2 linked regions of the Oryctolagus cuniculus genome follow. The protein of the gene in region 1 purifies or fractionates together with the protein of each later gene. This does not show direct contact. Links are inferred from orthologs where the notes say so. Each region holds a gene or a part of one and is shown in the gene's direction. Other genes may lie near its edges.

Evidence for each region. Proteins that work in one complex are often made in the same cells at the same time.
Region 2: the proteins of PSMG1 (region 1) and PSMA7 purify together in Homo sapiens (affinity purification with mass spectrometry; 3 studies listed by BioGRID and IntAct, with this or other methods). This does not show direct contact. The link is inferred for Oryctolagus cuniculus from reciprocal best matches to the Homo sapiens genes PSMG1 and PSMA7.

What each region holds. Positions count from the first base shown.
Region 1 is NC_091435.1:5,948,330-5,955,244, forward strand, and holds the start of PSMG1 (proteasome assembly chaperone 1), read left to right. Parts: upstream 1-2,426; coding exon 2,427-2,563; intron 2,564-5,053; coding exon 5,054-5,160; intron 5,161-6,603; coding exon 6,604-6,755; intron 6,756-6,915. UniProt on the Homo sapiens protein: Chaperone protein which promotes assembly of the 20S proteasome as part of a heterodimer with PSMG2.
Region 2 is NC_091442.1:1,220,069-1,226,280, forward strand, and holds the start of PSMA7 (proteasome subunit alpha type-7), read left to right. Parts: upstream 1-1,818; 5' UTR 1,819-1,934; coding exon 1,935-2,030; intron 2,031-3,764; coding exon 3,765-3,891; intron 3,892-4,305; coding exon 4,306-4,430; intron 4,431-4,806; coding exon 4,807-4,929; intron 4,930-5,371; coding exon 5,372-5,491; coding exon of another isoform or gene 5,492-5,518; intron 5,519-6,119; coding exon 6,120-6,212. Other genes in the region: SS18L1 (calcium-responsive transactivator), read right to left, coding at 1,405-1,473.

The sequences.
Region 1 (6,915 bases):
CAAGATCTCAACCTTATGTCAAGGGTTCACTATTAGGATATAAAAACTGAGACCACCATGAGCAGGTGACATTAATGAAGCCACAGAGAAGAGGCACAGTTTCAAAGGACCTGCCAAGGAGGTGATTTTTGACTTCTGAGTGAAGCAAGACTTAACACTGAGATATCCATGCTTTTTAATTCACTTTCCCAAAGGTCAACAACCTGAAGGCCCAGGGCTTCAGTGCTGGGGATGTCGATCGCTGAGTTCTGAGCGTCGAAAATAAGAGAAAACCCATTGTCTTATTTTGTTTATAGTACTGGAATTCATACCTAACAGTGACCACTTGATATGATTAATTCAGGGAATATATATTTTTCTATGAAAGTTAGGAATATGATTCTCATAGCTTTTGCTCATTTCTACTTTTCACGTAGTAGCATTTACAGAAATGCCAAAATGTACCTCATTAAGAGGCAAGTCTTAGTTTTAATCAGAACATCTCTTTAGATGACAGAGTGAAATCTTTCATGCTTATTACATCACATTAAAAGAACTTGAACACTGAGCAAATTTACTACAATCTCATCACACACTTTATAGCAGCATGTCTGGCCTGTTTTGTTGTGGTCTTTGATAGGATTAGAAAAGCTGGCCATGGCACTACAAAGAATTTACTTGCAATGAGGTTTAATTTGTTGTTAACAGACATTTGTTGAAATTAAGATCACCAGATTAAATGAATGTACTGTCAAATCTTAATAGAAAGATGTTAAATAGTCCTAAGCAAGTTGTTTTCCCGTTGGAAAAAAAAATCTGTGAATCTATGATTTGCATGTGTAAACCTAAACCTGAAAAAGTAAAATACAGAAATCTAGGAGTTTATTTTTAAGACTAATGCATATTTTTTGGTTACCAGGTGGATGGACCAAGTGTTCAGATTATTTGAGAAATTTGTGGTTGCATGTTTGTTTTAAAAAAAAAGGCTATTTTTTTAAAAAGTACAAGTCAGAATATTCTAAGCGACAGTGTGTGTCCTTTGCTCTTTCATGCGGTTCACTTTAATCTGAAATACTGATCCCCAGCATCCTGTTGCTAGCACAGGCGGGACAAGGAGGCGTTCCTAATAAACTGCTGCCATTTTCAGGTGCATGGGGTTTGCTTTCTGAGCGCTAATGAAACGCGGAAATGCATTTCCAGTCCCAAACTTACACTCGTTCACTGCAGTTTCTTACAGGGCGTATTATAGCCTCAAGAAATACCATCACATATTTAAGTCTCAGTGAAGGCTTTTACGTACAATTTTTTTTTTAATAATTTCGGTGTAATGAAAACTTAAGCTTTGAGTCAATAGCTGGCGGGGTTAATTCCTGTCAGTATTTGAGACTGTACGGGCCTTTCATAACAGAATCCTCCTTGCTGGTTTAGTATTTAATTTGAACACAGATTCGCCTTTAAACAAAAGCCGCTTGGCCTGAATACACGTTAAGTGCATGAAGTAAGTGTGTTTCAGGAAGTCCGCATTCTTGTCAAGCTGTTCTCTCCGGGACGGGCAGTCCGGCGGTGGCCACCGCTGACGTCACCCTGCTTAACAGGGCAGTGGGCAGTGCAGGGGTGAGGTGGTGGGCCCCAGGCGGGGCCGGGGGCCGGCGATGCCTGTCCGGGGCGCCCCGCTCACGCTGGAGTCCCGCGCCCACGGGCGCAGCTTTTGCCCCCGGACGTCTCATTCTGCCGCGAACCCCCAGCTCTGAGTACGATGGCTGAGTAGCAGGTTCTCCCGCCTCTGGCCGGACGGCGTTCCTAGCACGGCTGAGGCGCTCGGTGGCCCCGGGCTCGCGCGCCCCGCTCACCGCCCCCGGCCGCCCCCACGGGTTCCGTGCAATCGCGAGTGGCCAAGCTTAAAGAAACAAACCTCCGTGCGCGTCCTCGAGCTTCCCGGCAGCTGCGGGGCTGGGCAGAGGCCTCGCTTCCCGCCGCGGCGTCTTCCTCACGCCCGCCCGCCCGGGCCCCGCGGCCGCCACCACCTGGCGCGCTCGAGGTCCGGAGCAGGTGTGCACACACCAAAGTCCAGCCCTGTCGCTCCCAACGGAAAACGAGAAGGGGCCCGAGGGAAAGGAAACGCGTGAGGGGCGCACGCTCTGCTAAGCGCCGCGCCCTGGGTCCAGGTCCGTCACCTGCCCGGGCCGGACACGCCTCCCGGCCTCCGCGCGCCCCGCCCACCGGGTCACGTGCTCGCCCCTCTAGCCCACAGTCCTCCAGTCTCGGTGTCCTCGCCCGCCTCACGCGGCGGAAGAACAGGCTCCGGACTTCCGGGGCCGCCCCGTCACTGAGGGGCGCCAGGGGGCGTGGCCCTCCGCGCGCGGGTGCGCCTGGGGGCGTGGCCCCGCGCCGTGGCGCGTGCGCCGTCTCGCGCCGCCGCAGTTGTGCCCGACCGGCCCCGGGAGACCATGGCGGCCACGTTCTTCGGAGAGGTGGTGAGGGCGCCGTGTCGGGCGGGGACCGAGGAGGAGGAGGAGGAGGAGGAGGAGGGCCGGAGGGAGACGCCCGAGGACCGGGAGGTGCGGCTGCAGCTGGCGCGGAAGAGGTGAGGCCCTGCGGGGAGGCCGGGAGCCGGGGCCGCGCTGCCGGGGAAGCGCCTCAGCCCCGCCGCCGGGCAGGTGCGCGCGGCCCGGGAGGCCTCGGGCGCCCGCTGCCGTGGGCCTGAAGCGGGGGAGGGAGGCGTGCGTTCAGGCTGGTCCTTGCCGGTGTGCGGAGCGGCCTCCGTGCCCTGCCCGCGTCCGTCCTGGGCTTCTCGGGCCCCGACCGGGGCCGCAGCGGCTGGGTGAGCGGGACGCGCCCGCCAGGTCCGGGGGAGGGAGGAGAGTGACCACGGGTCCGCATCAGGGTCAGCAGCGGCTGGATGTGCGGGACGTGCCCGCCCAGGTCCGGGGGAGGGAGGAGAGTGACCACGGGTCCGCAGCGGCTGGAGGTGCCAGAGGCGCCTGCCCAGGTCCGGGGACGGGGGAGGAGACCCCCGGTCCGCATCAGGGTCCGCAGCGGCTGGAGGTGCGGGACCCGTCCGCCCGCAGAGTGACGGAGGGAGAGACAGAATCTCGCGTCCATTGGGTCACTCCCCACTTGGCCGCAACAGCCGGGATTGGGCCAGGAGCTCCATCCGGGTCTCCCACGTGGGTGGCAGGGGCCCCACTACACTTCCGGAGGTGAATTATCACGGAGCTGGGTTCGCAGTGGAGCAGCTGGGACTTGAGTGGGTGCTTCGGCACTGGGTGCCAGCATCGCAAGTGACGCTTAAGCCCCGCCCCACAGTCAAATTTACTAGTTTCCTCAAGCATACAGGGAGTTGTGCAAGTCAGAATCCTGATAAAGGTGCACACATGATGTTTATATAACCACTTATTTGAGAGACGAAGAGAGCACCCGTGGGAACTCTTGGTTCATTCCCCAAATGCGTGGAACAGTGGGGTGGGCTGCAAGCCAGGAACTCAATCCGAGACCCTCGGGTGGGTGACAGGTGCCCAGTTACTTGAGCCAGCCCAGGGCCTGCATTGACAGGAAGCTGGAATTGGGAGCAGAGTCCAACTGGGACTAAGGCTTTTTTTTTTTTTTTTAAGATTTATTTTAAAGATTTATTTTAAAGATTTATTTTCTATTTGAAAGAGTTATGTAGAGAGAGAAAGAGAGAGAGAGAGCGCGCACTACCATCAGCTGGTGCACTTCCCAGATGACCACAGTGGCTGGGGCTGGAAGCTCGGGGCTTCACCTGGGTCTCACATGGGTGGCAGGGGTCCAAGCACCCAGGCCGCCACACAGGAGCTGCATAAGAAGTGGAGCAGCTGGGACACAAACTGGCGCCCACATGGGGCGTTGGTGTCCCAGGTGGCGGCTTTACCTGCCAGTGTTCTAACTGCTACCCACCCGCCCCCAGCATACTGTGCTTAGACATTTCATCTGAGGTAGAGCTCGCCCTCTCCCCAGATGTGTGCTTTCTCCCCTGCTGAGAACCTGGCTGTCCTGTCTAACGTCCCACAGTATGGATTTGTGAGCGCCGCCACACGGTGTCAGTTAACATTAACATTTCCTGGAAATGTCAGATTCACTTTTTCTTTCGAAAAATTTGTTTCTTTTTTTTAAAAGATTTATTTATTTTTTACTTGAGAGTCAGAGTTACACAGAGAGAGAAGGAGAGGCAGAGAGAGAGAGAAGGAGGGGAGGGAGGGAGAGAGGTCTTCCATCTGCTGGTTCACTCCCCAGTTGGCCACAACAGCTGGAGCTGTGCCGATCTGAAGCCAGGAGCCAGGAGCTTCTTCCAGGTCTCCCATGTGGATGCAGGGGCCCAAGGACTTGGGCCATCTTCTACTGCTTTCCCAGGCCACAGCAGAGAGCGGGACTAGAACCGGCGCCCATATGGGATGCCAGGGCTTCAGGCCAGGGCATTAACCCACTGCACCACAGCGCTGGCCCCAAATTTATTTGTTTCTTTGCAAGTCAGTGTTACAGAGACAGAAGGAAAAAGAGATAGATCTTCGACCTGCTGGTTCAGTCCCCAGATGGCCACAGTGGCCACGGTTGAGCCAGGCTGAATCCAGGAGCCTCATCAGGGTCTCTCAGGTGGGTGGCAGGGGCCCAGGCACTTGGGCCATCGTCTGCTGCTTTTCCCGGGCACATTAGTGGGGAGCTGGGTCAGAAGTAGAACAGCTGGGACATGGACTGAGTGGACTGAGGCCCATGTGGGCTGCCAGCATTCCGGCGGCAGCTTCGCCACAACTCCGGCCCCCAGATTCACAGGCAGCATTTGGTTTGAAGGCTGCTTTGCAGTGGTGCTGTTTCCTGTTGCTCGTTCTACCTGCGGTCTCACTGCTGGGGAGCAAAGGCTGATGAGAGGGTCAGGCGGTGGCCTGGTCTGCGCTTGTCCTGGTTTTCTCTGTTGGTTACCATTGCCTGAGTCCATTGTTTTCTTGGGGTTGTTCTTCACAGGTGTGTTTTACCTATTGCAACGTAGCATGCAGTGGGCTCTTGTTCACAGTATTCTGATTAAGCTGAGGTTGTTTTAGTTTCATCTTATTTCTTGTGTTAGGGAGGTACGGCTTCTTCGAAGACAAACGAAAACGTGTTTGGAATTTTCCCTGCTGGAAAAGCATCCTTGCTCCAGGTTTATCATTGCCATAGGCAGCAATGCAGTAGGTGAGTGCAACGGGGACCGCTGAGTCTCCCGACAGCCGAAGCTGCTCGTTTGCTTCTGTTATGAAAGGTTGCAAGTGCTTGTTAATTAAAAAAAAAGCCATAATGTTATTTCTGAGTAAAACTTATATCCTGCTCATGTACCATCTTTCTAATAAACCTAAAAAATTTAAAGGAAGTGTTATTGAACTTAAGGCGCAAGGAAATGTTTCTAGTGTGTTGAACTATCCAAGTTTGTGTAAATTTTTAAAAATTTTTATTTTTTATTTTAAATGTAAAGTGCCAGAGAGACAGACGCACAGAGAGAGAGAGACATCGGTCTTCCATTTGCTGTTTCACGTCCCAAATGCCTGCAGCTGGGGCTGGACCGGGTCAAAGCCAGGAGCTCCGTCCTCGTCTCCCATGTAGACGGCAGAGACCCAAAAGCTTGAGGCATTGTCTTCTGCCTTCCAGGGTGTGCATTAGTAGGATGGGAAGCAGAGATGGGACTTGAACCCAGGCACTCCGATATGGCTATGAGCATTCCAAGTGGCGACTTCATCTGCTTTGCCACAGTGCCTGCCCCATACTTAAATATTTGTGAGTTAACAGAGTCCTTTGAGAACACGATGAGAACTCTAACAAGTGCTGGCATTTTTGACCACTCAAGTCCAAGGTCTTTGCACTTCCTGATGTACTTGTTGGACTAAAACGAGCAGTGTTGATGTACCCAGAAGGGCCCTGTAGTTTCAGGAGGCTCACACGCTCTGAGGGGAGCCTTCAGGGCTTTGGTTGGATCCTTGCCCCTCAAAGGCACCCCGGTGCTGGCTGAACACAGTGACTTGCTGGCGCTGGGGCGCAGTGGGTCAAGCTGCCACTTGTGACGCCAGTGTCCCGTATCAAAGTGCTGGTTTGAGTTCTGGTTACTCCCTTTCTAGTTCAGCTCCCTGCTAATGGACCTGCAAAGGCAGTGGAAGATGGTGCAAGTCCTTGGGCTCCTACCACTTGGGACAGAGTTCCTGGCTCTTGGCTTGCCCGGGCTCAGCCCTAGCTATTGTGGCCATCTGGGGAGTAAATTTGTGGATAGAACATCTTTCTCTCTCTGTCTCTGTCTCTCTCTCTCTCTTTTTCTCTCTCTGTTGGACTGCCTTTCAAATAAACTAGCAAACAGAAATGAATAAGTAAATCTTAGAAAACAAGAACGTAGTAACTCGGGTAGATAACTGTTGTCATTTATGTAAAGTTCTGCTGGTCTAGGATTTTTCCAGGGGAGTGTTCCCCGTGAGTATCGTACAGACTCGCTGTCCTACTCAGGGGTGGCCTTTGAGTTCCCGAGGGCTTGATCTTCTTTCCTACAGAGTGGTGACATTGGGTAGACGCTATTCAGTGGCCCTTTCCTCTTGAATATTGACTATAAAATGCAGCTTACAGAGCCCACCACTAACTTCTGTGAATTGCTTTCCACAGCGTTTCTGTCATCATTTGTTATGAATTCAGGAGTCTGGGAAGAAATCGGTTGTGCTAAACTCTGGAATGAATGGTGTAGAACAGCAGACTCGACCCTCTTGTCCCCCTCGGAGGCTTTTTGTGTGTTTTATCAACTGAAAGCTCATCACTCGGTATGTGGGACTTGCCTTGGGTGTCCAGGAAGTGCAGTCGAGCATCACTGGGGGTTCCTCTTGGGCGCGCCCTTGGCGTCCCGTCTGCCGGGTCCCGGCCGCCTGTCAGGGTGTGCTTCTGGCGCTGACTGCCAGCAGTGGCTGGATTCTTCAGTTTTAC
Region 2 (6,212 bases), on another chromosome or scaffold:
CGAGCCAAAGGCCGCGCGATGCGGCGCTGCAGCCACAGCCGTGCCGCAGCCACCGTCCACGGCACGCAGCTTTCCTGTGCTTCCGCCTCCTCAGCTACACGGGGGACGCTAATTCCACGGAGGACGCGGAGAAGACGGGCAAAGCCCGGGCCAGGCGTCGTGGCTCAGCAGGCTGGTTGCTGTCAGCTGTGTGCTACTGGCACACGGTGGAGGGGCCGTGAAGGGTGGCCCCGGGGCTTGGAGGCCTGGACGGAGCTGCAGGCTCCCGGTGCCCACCTGGCCCAGCCCTGGCTGTCGCAGGCTCGCCGGATGGAGAATCTCCCCCGCCCGGCGGCGGGTGCTCTGGTGCCGCGGGTTAAGCCCCGGCCTGCAGTGCCGGGTCCCACAGGAGCGCCAGTGCCAGTCCTGGCTGCTGCACTTCTGATCTAACTCTGCTGGGACAGCAACGGAACAACGCCCACGTCCTTGGGCCCTGCACCCGGGGAGCCGACTCAGATAAAGCCCCAGGCTCCCGGCTTTGGGCGCAGCTCCGGCCGTTTCGGCCATCTGGGGACTGAACCAGCGGATGGAAGACCTCTCCCTACCTCTCCAACTCTGTGTGTCAAATAAATCTCAAAGAGAAAGCGCACATTAAAAGATTCGCAAGGCTCTCAAACAGCACCTGCGACTCCACACCCTCGGAGGCTCCCGTCCGTCACCATCCCCGGCTCGGCGCTGCCCAAGGCCCCCCACTCGTGACAATCCCGTGGCGACAAGATCGGTCTCCATCTTGGTGACAGCCCGAGGACCACGTCCCCAGAGGCGGGCGCACCCCTCCCGGCGAACCCACAGAGTCCAGCAGAGGAACACACGCAGCCGCGCGAGGCGCCGGGCGCGTGCAGAGGGGCGCGGCGAACGCCAGCTTCCTTCCTTATCTGTCGGGCGGGGAAGCCGAGAACGGAACGTGCCCGCTCCCCCGCACCCGCGCGGCCCGACTCACGCCGAGGCGCGGGGCTGCACAGCACAGCCGGGTTCCCGGGCGCGGGGCACCCGCGTGCGCTGCGGGGCGCCCAAGCCCGCGCCGCGTCCTTTGTGCCCTGGGGGCTCGCGCCTCGCCGAGGGGCGTCCCCGAGGCCGGCCCGCACTCCCTCGCGCGTGGCCAGCGGCGCTCGGGACCCGGACCCCCGACACGGGCGCCGCCGCCGCCCTCTCCTCCCAGGCGGCCGACGCCACGCGCCCTCGCCCGCGCCCGCGGGTCTCCGCGCGCCTCCGGCAGAGTGGGCGTGGGCCCCCCGGGGAGCGCCGCTGCGGACGGCGGGCGCGGGGCCGCTCGGCTGCGCCCCGGCTTTGTTCGCGCCCCGCGCCCGCCGGCTGCCCGCGCCCCAGCCCGCGCGTGCCCGCGCCTCGCGCCCCGGCCCCACGCACCTTCTGAATGGTCTGCTGCGTGACCTCCCCTTTGCCCCTCGGCCGGGCGGACGCGAAGGCCACGGACATTGCGGCGACGCGGGGCTCAGCCCGTGACCATCAGGGCTTATTCCCCGGCTGCGCTCGGCCGCCCGAAGAGCTCATTCTCCGCAGTCGCCGGGGGGCGGGAGGCGCGGGGGACGCCGCGCCGTGGGCTCGCCCGCCCCGCCGCCCCGCGCGCGCCGCCGCGCCCGCCGCGCCGCCTCCCGCCGCCGCCGCCCCCTCCGAGGCCGCGCCTCGCGTGGCGCCCCCCGGCGGCCGGCCGGCGCCCCGCGCCCGCTCCGCCGCGCCCCGCGCCGCCCCCCCCGCCCCGCCGCCCGTGGTTAGGCCCGGCCCCGCCCCGCCCCGCCGCGCGCCCGCACGTCCGCCCGACGCCGTGACGTCACCGACGCGCAGCGTGGGCGCGGCGCAGGGCGCGCGCGCCGGCCGTGAGTGTGCGCTTTTGAGAGCGGCGGAGAGGGTGGCCCTGGGCCCGCGCCGCGGCCGCCGGCATGAGCTACGACCGCGCCATCACCGTCTTCTCGCCCGACGGCCACCTGTTCCAAGTGGAGTACGCGCAGGAGGCCGTTAAGAAGGGCTCGACCGCGGTGAGCCGCCGCGCCGGGGCCTGCGCGCGCTGGGGGCCCGGGCCAGGGGCGCCGCCGGGGGCCCGGGCGCGGCGGCGGGCGGCGGGCCTGGGCTCGGCCGGGGGCGCGGGCTGCGGACCGCTGCTCCCGGGACGGCGGCGCGGCGTCCCTTCGGCCGTGCGTGTGGCCAGCGGGCCGCTGGGAACCCGCGGGGCGCCGGCTCCGTGGCGCAGAGAAGGGAGCCGCAGCCCGGGCGGGGCCGATGGCGGCGCTGGGGCGCGCATGGCGTCGGAGGCCGCGGGTGAGGGGCCAGGCCAGTAGCCCGGGGTGCCTCTGGGTGCGTGCTTTCCGGTACGGGAGCGGGCCGTGCCCTGCACCTGCCGGCGGCGGGCCAGCCGGACGCACGGGGACTGTCCTGGCGGCTCCCGGAGTGATGCCAGGCCACTGCCTGCCCAGGTGGGCACGTTGAGCTCGGGGCTCAGGCGCCTGTCTCGTTCCCACCAGCAGCACCTGGGCGCACCTCGGGAGCGCGCGCGCATGTGGAGGAGGGGTGGTGTTTCTCACAGGAGGCTGGGGGGCCCCGGGCCAGGCCCCCGGGGGTGCGGTGCCTGGGCAGCGTCTGCCCCCTCGCAGACAGCGCCGTGGCGCGCGACGTTTTTGTCCCTTAGAATCCTAGACGTTCAGGGCCACGACGCGGATTCTGAGGTCGCCACTTCCTGGCTCGTGTGACCGCCTGCAATTAGGGTCCCAAGTCCAACTCTGACCTCCTCCCCACCCACGCTCGCTCGGGCGGACGCACAGCTGCGGCTCCCGGAGCGTCTGGCCGAGTCGGCACCCGGGACCTCCCTGGAAACCGGGCCAGTGCCCCTCGGCCCGCGGGCACTGCCGTGTGGAGCGAGACTGCTGCTGGCATGCCGTGGGCGGGGGCGGCTGCCCAGGTCGGCACTGGCCGGCGGGGCTGAAAGGCCCTGTGCTGGAGGGCGGGCACGCGCGGCGCCCACCGATTGCTGCGGTTGGTTTCTAGGCTGTTTGATTGACGTGTGGGATGGCCGATTCCTGAGGTTCCGGTGTGTGTGAGAGGCAGAGCCCCCACCCGCCGGCTGACTCCCCAGAGGCCCCTGACCGCCACCAGCCAGGAGCTTAGTCCGGGTCTCCCAGGAGGGGGGTGGGAGCTGCGCCCCGACTCTGATGGGGGCTCGGCGTCCCATGCCGAAGCGGCTCCCACGCCTGGTTAGGAGACGGGGAGGCCTTCATACTGCTCACGCCCCTTGGGCCCGCGACAGTGGGTGCCAGTCTAGGCCGGAGCCGGGACCCTGCGTGGGTCCATGGTCTGCAGCCTTGCCAGCCCAGCCCTCTGAGCAGGGGTGGGGAACCTGTCTCTGCCGGGCCGTTTGCGGTCGTACGGAATTGTCCACTTCATAATTAGCCTGCCGTGATTTATCGGATTTTGAATCCCACCCGTGGTTGCCTTGGCGGGCGGTGTCCGGCGACGGCTGACAGCAGGCGGCCCCTCCCTCGTGCCGGGAGGTGGCTTCACAGCTCGCCTGCGGCCGGCGCCCCTGTTCAGACTCCGGCCCACACGGCAGGTCCCTACCCGCAGTGCCGGGCCCGGGCTGTCGGGCTGTGAGCTGTGGGCTGCGCGGGTGAGCACAGCTCCGCGTGGCGGCTGCCGGCCACGCCCCAGGACCGTGTTGCCGTGTGCTCCTGGCGCCCCGCCTCCGCAGTTTCTCATGCGGGCCGTGGTTTTCATTGGAGGTTGGCGTCCGGGGGAGAGACATCGTCGTCCTTGGCGTGGAGAAGAAGTCGGTGGCCAAGCTGCAGGATGAAAGGACCGTGCGCAAGATCTGCGCGTTGGACGACAACGTCTGCATGGCGTTCGCAGGTGCGCGACCGGGGCCAGGGCCGCACTCAGGGTCCCGGTGGAACCTGGCTGTGCAGAGGGACGCGGGGCCCCGGGCTGTTGCCAGACGTCAGTGGATTCGGACTTCAGGAGTTAACTTGGGGGTTTTTCTGTCCCCCAAACACGAGCCCCGCCTGACCTGTGGCATGCAGAGGGCAGACAGGGCTGCCCGTGGCCAGCAGCAGTACACCTGCCCCGTGACGGGGAGGCACGCACTCGGCCCCTGCGCTCCCCCAGGGCGCGGGGCGGCTCCCTGACCTGGTTCTCAGAAGAGCCCCGGAGGCTGCTGGTCCCGCTCTGGCCGCTAAGGGCGAGGGGGGACCGTGCCCAGAGGTCAGGCTGCGGAGTAGCCAGGGTCAACGCCGTCCTTGCTCGGAGTCTCCCGCTCCTTTGCAGGCCTCACTGCGGACGCGCGCATCGTCATCAATCGGGCCCGGGTAGAGTGCCAGAGCCACCGGCTGACCGTGGAGGACCCGGTCACTGTGGAGTACATCACCCGCTACATCGCCAGTCTGAAGCAGGTGGGCGCCCGGGGTCAGCTGCGTCCTGCTGTCCACCGCTTCCCCTTGGCTCTCAGCGCGCGCTGGAGGGAGGAGCGAGGCCCGGCTCTGTCCTTAGCGGCGTTGCCAGGCGGGTGGGAGGGAGCCGAGAACCACTGTGGCGCGACGCCATTCGTCTTCCGAGCCAGCGTGTGGCCAGCTGGACGGCTGCCTGGCAGGAAGTTCCCAGGCGCTCAGTGCGTGCTGCGCAGTGCCTGGGCCTGGGCGTGCAGGTGCAGAACGGGCCGGAGGCGTGGGGGGTCTCGGTGCCTGCAGAGCGCCCCTGGCTGGGGCTCGGCTCGCGGGCGTCCTGCGCGGTCTCCCTGGTCCGAGCCCCGACCTGTTTGTGCCGCTCCAGCGCTACACACAGAGCAACGGTCGCAGGCCATTCGGCATCTCTGCCCTCATCGTGGGCTTTGACTTCGATGGCACCCCCAGACTCTACCAGACTGACCCCTCGGGCACGTACCACGCCTGGAAGGTGAGTCCCGCAGGGTGCAGCGGCTTCGGCAGCGTCCACTCCTCACGTCAGCGTTTGAGGTCACCGCGTCCCAGATGTACACGCTGCCTTGACGGTGGCTGTGTGGGAGCCAGGGGGCCGTGAGCACCAGATTGTCCTGCAGGACCGTGAGGGTGCGGGTGCAGGGCGGCGTTAGGATCAGTTAAGAATCGGCAGAAGGAAGCTGCCCACGGGGCTCAGCTGGTCACTCGGCATGGCCGCCCACGGGGCTCAGCTGGCCACTCGGCATGGCCGCCCACGGGGCTCAGCTGGCCACTCAGCATGGCTGCCCACGGGGCTCCGCAGGTCACCTGGAGCGGCTGCCCCTTGCCACAGCTTGCTCAGAGCAAACAGCAGGCCCCCTGGGGACACGGGCAGCAGGCAGCTGGACCCCTGGGCCACCGCGGGTGCACATCCGTTTCAGGCCAATGCCATCGGCCGGGGCGCCAAGTCAGTGCGTGAGTTCCTGGAGAAGAACTACACCGATGACGCCATCGAGACCGACGACCTGGCCATCAAGCTGGTGATCAAGGCCCTCCTGGAAGTAAGTGCTCGGGGTCCGGGAAACACGGTGGACGCCGGCCGCGTGGGCGTGGGCAGGGCAGTGTCCCGGTCCCACGGAGCTCTGGGCATATCCTTGCTAAGCTTTGAGAGGCAGTGAGCGATCTTCATCCCCTGGGCCACTCCCTAAACGGCCGCAGTGGCTGGAGGGGAGCTGACCGGAAGCCAGGAACCAGGAGCCTTGTCCAGGTCTCCCACGTGGTGTGGGGCCCAAGGACGCGGGCATCCTCCACTCTCCCAGGCCCTCAGCAGGAAGCTGGATGGGAGCTGGAGCCCGTACGGGAGCCGGCACTGCAGGGGGAGGCCTAGCCCGCCGTGCCACAGCGCGGCCCCTGCTTTCTACGAGTGGCGCAGGTGGGATGTGACCCCACCCCTCGGCGGGGAGTGTGTTCTGCGCATGGCCCGAACTTGGCCTTCCAGGCCTGAGCTGCGAGGGGGGGAGCTAACCACACTGACAGCAGTGCCTGGCGGGGCGAGGGTCCAGCTCTGTCCACACCTGCCTGGCGAGGCGGGGGTTGCTAAGTGGAGGGGCGGCGCCATGAGGGACTCACGGGCGCTGTCTGGGCCCTCTGTGGGGCGAGGGATCTCATGTCCTGTCGTCTCCCCTCAAGGTGGTTCAGTCTGGTGGCAAAAACATCGAACTCGCGGTCATGAGGCGGGATCAGCCCCTCAAGGTAATGCCAGCTGTGTCCTGCGGAGCTTCT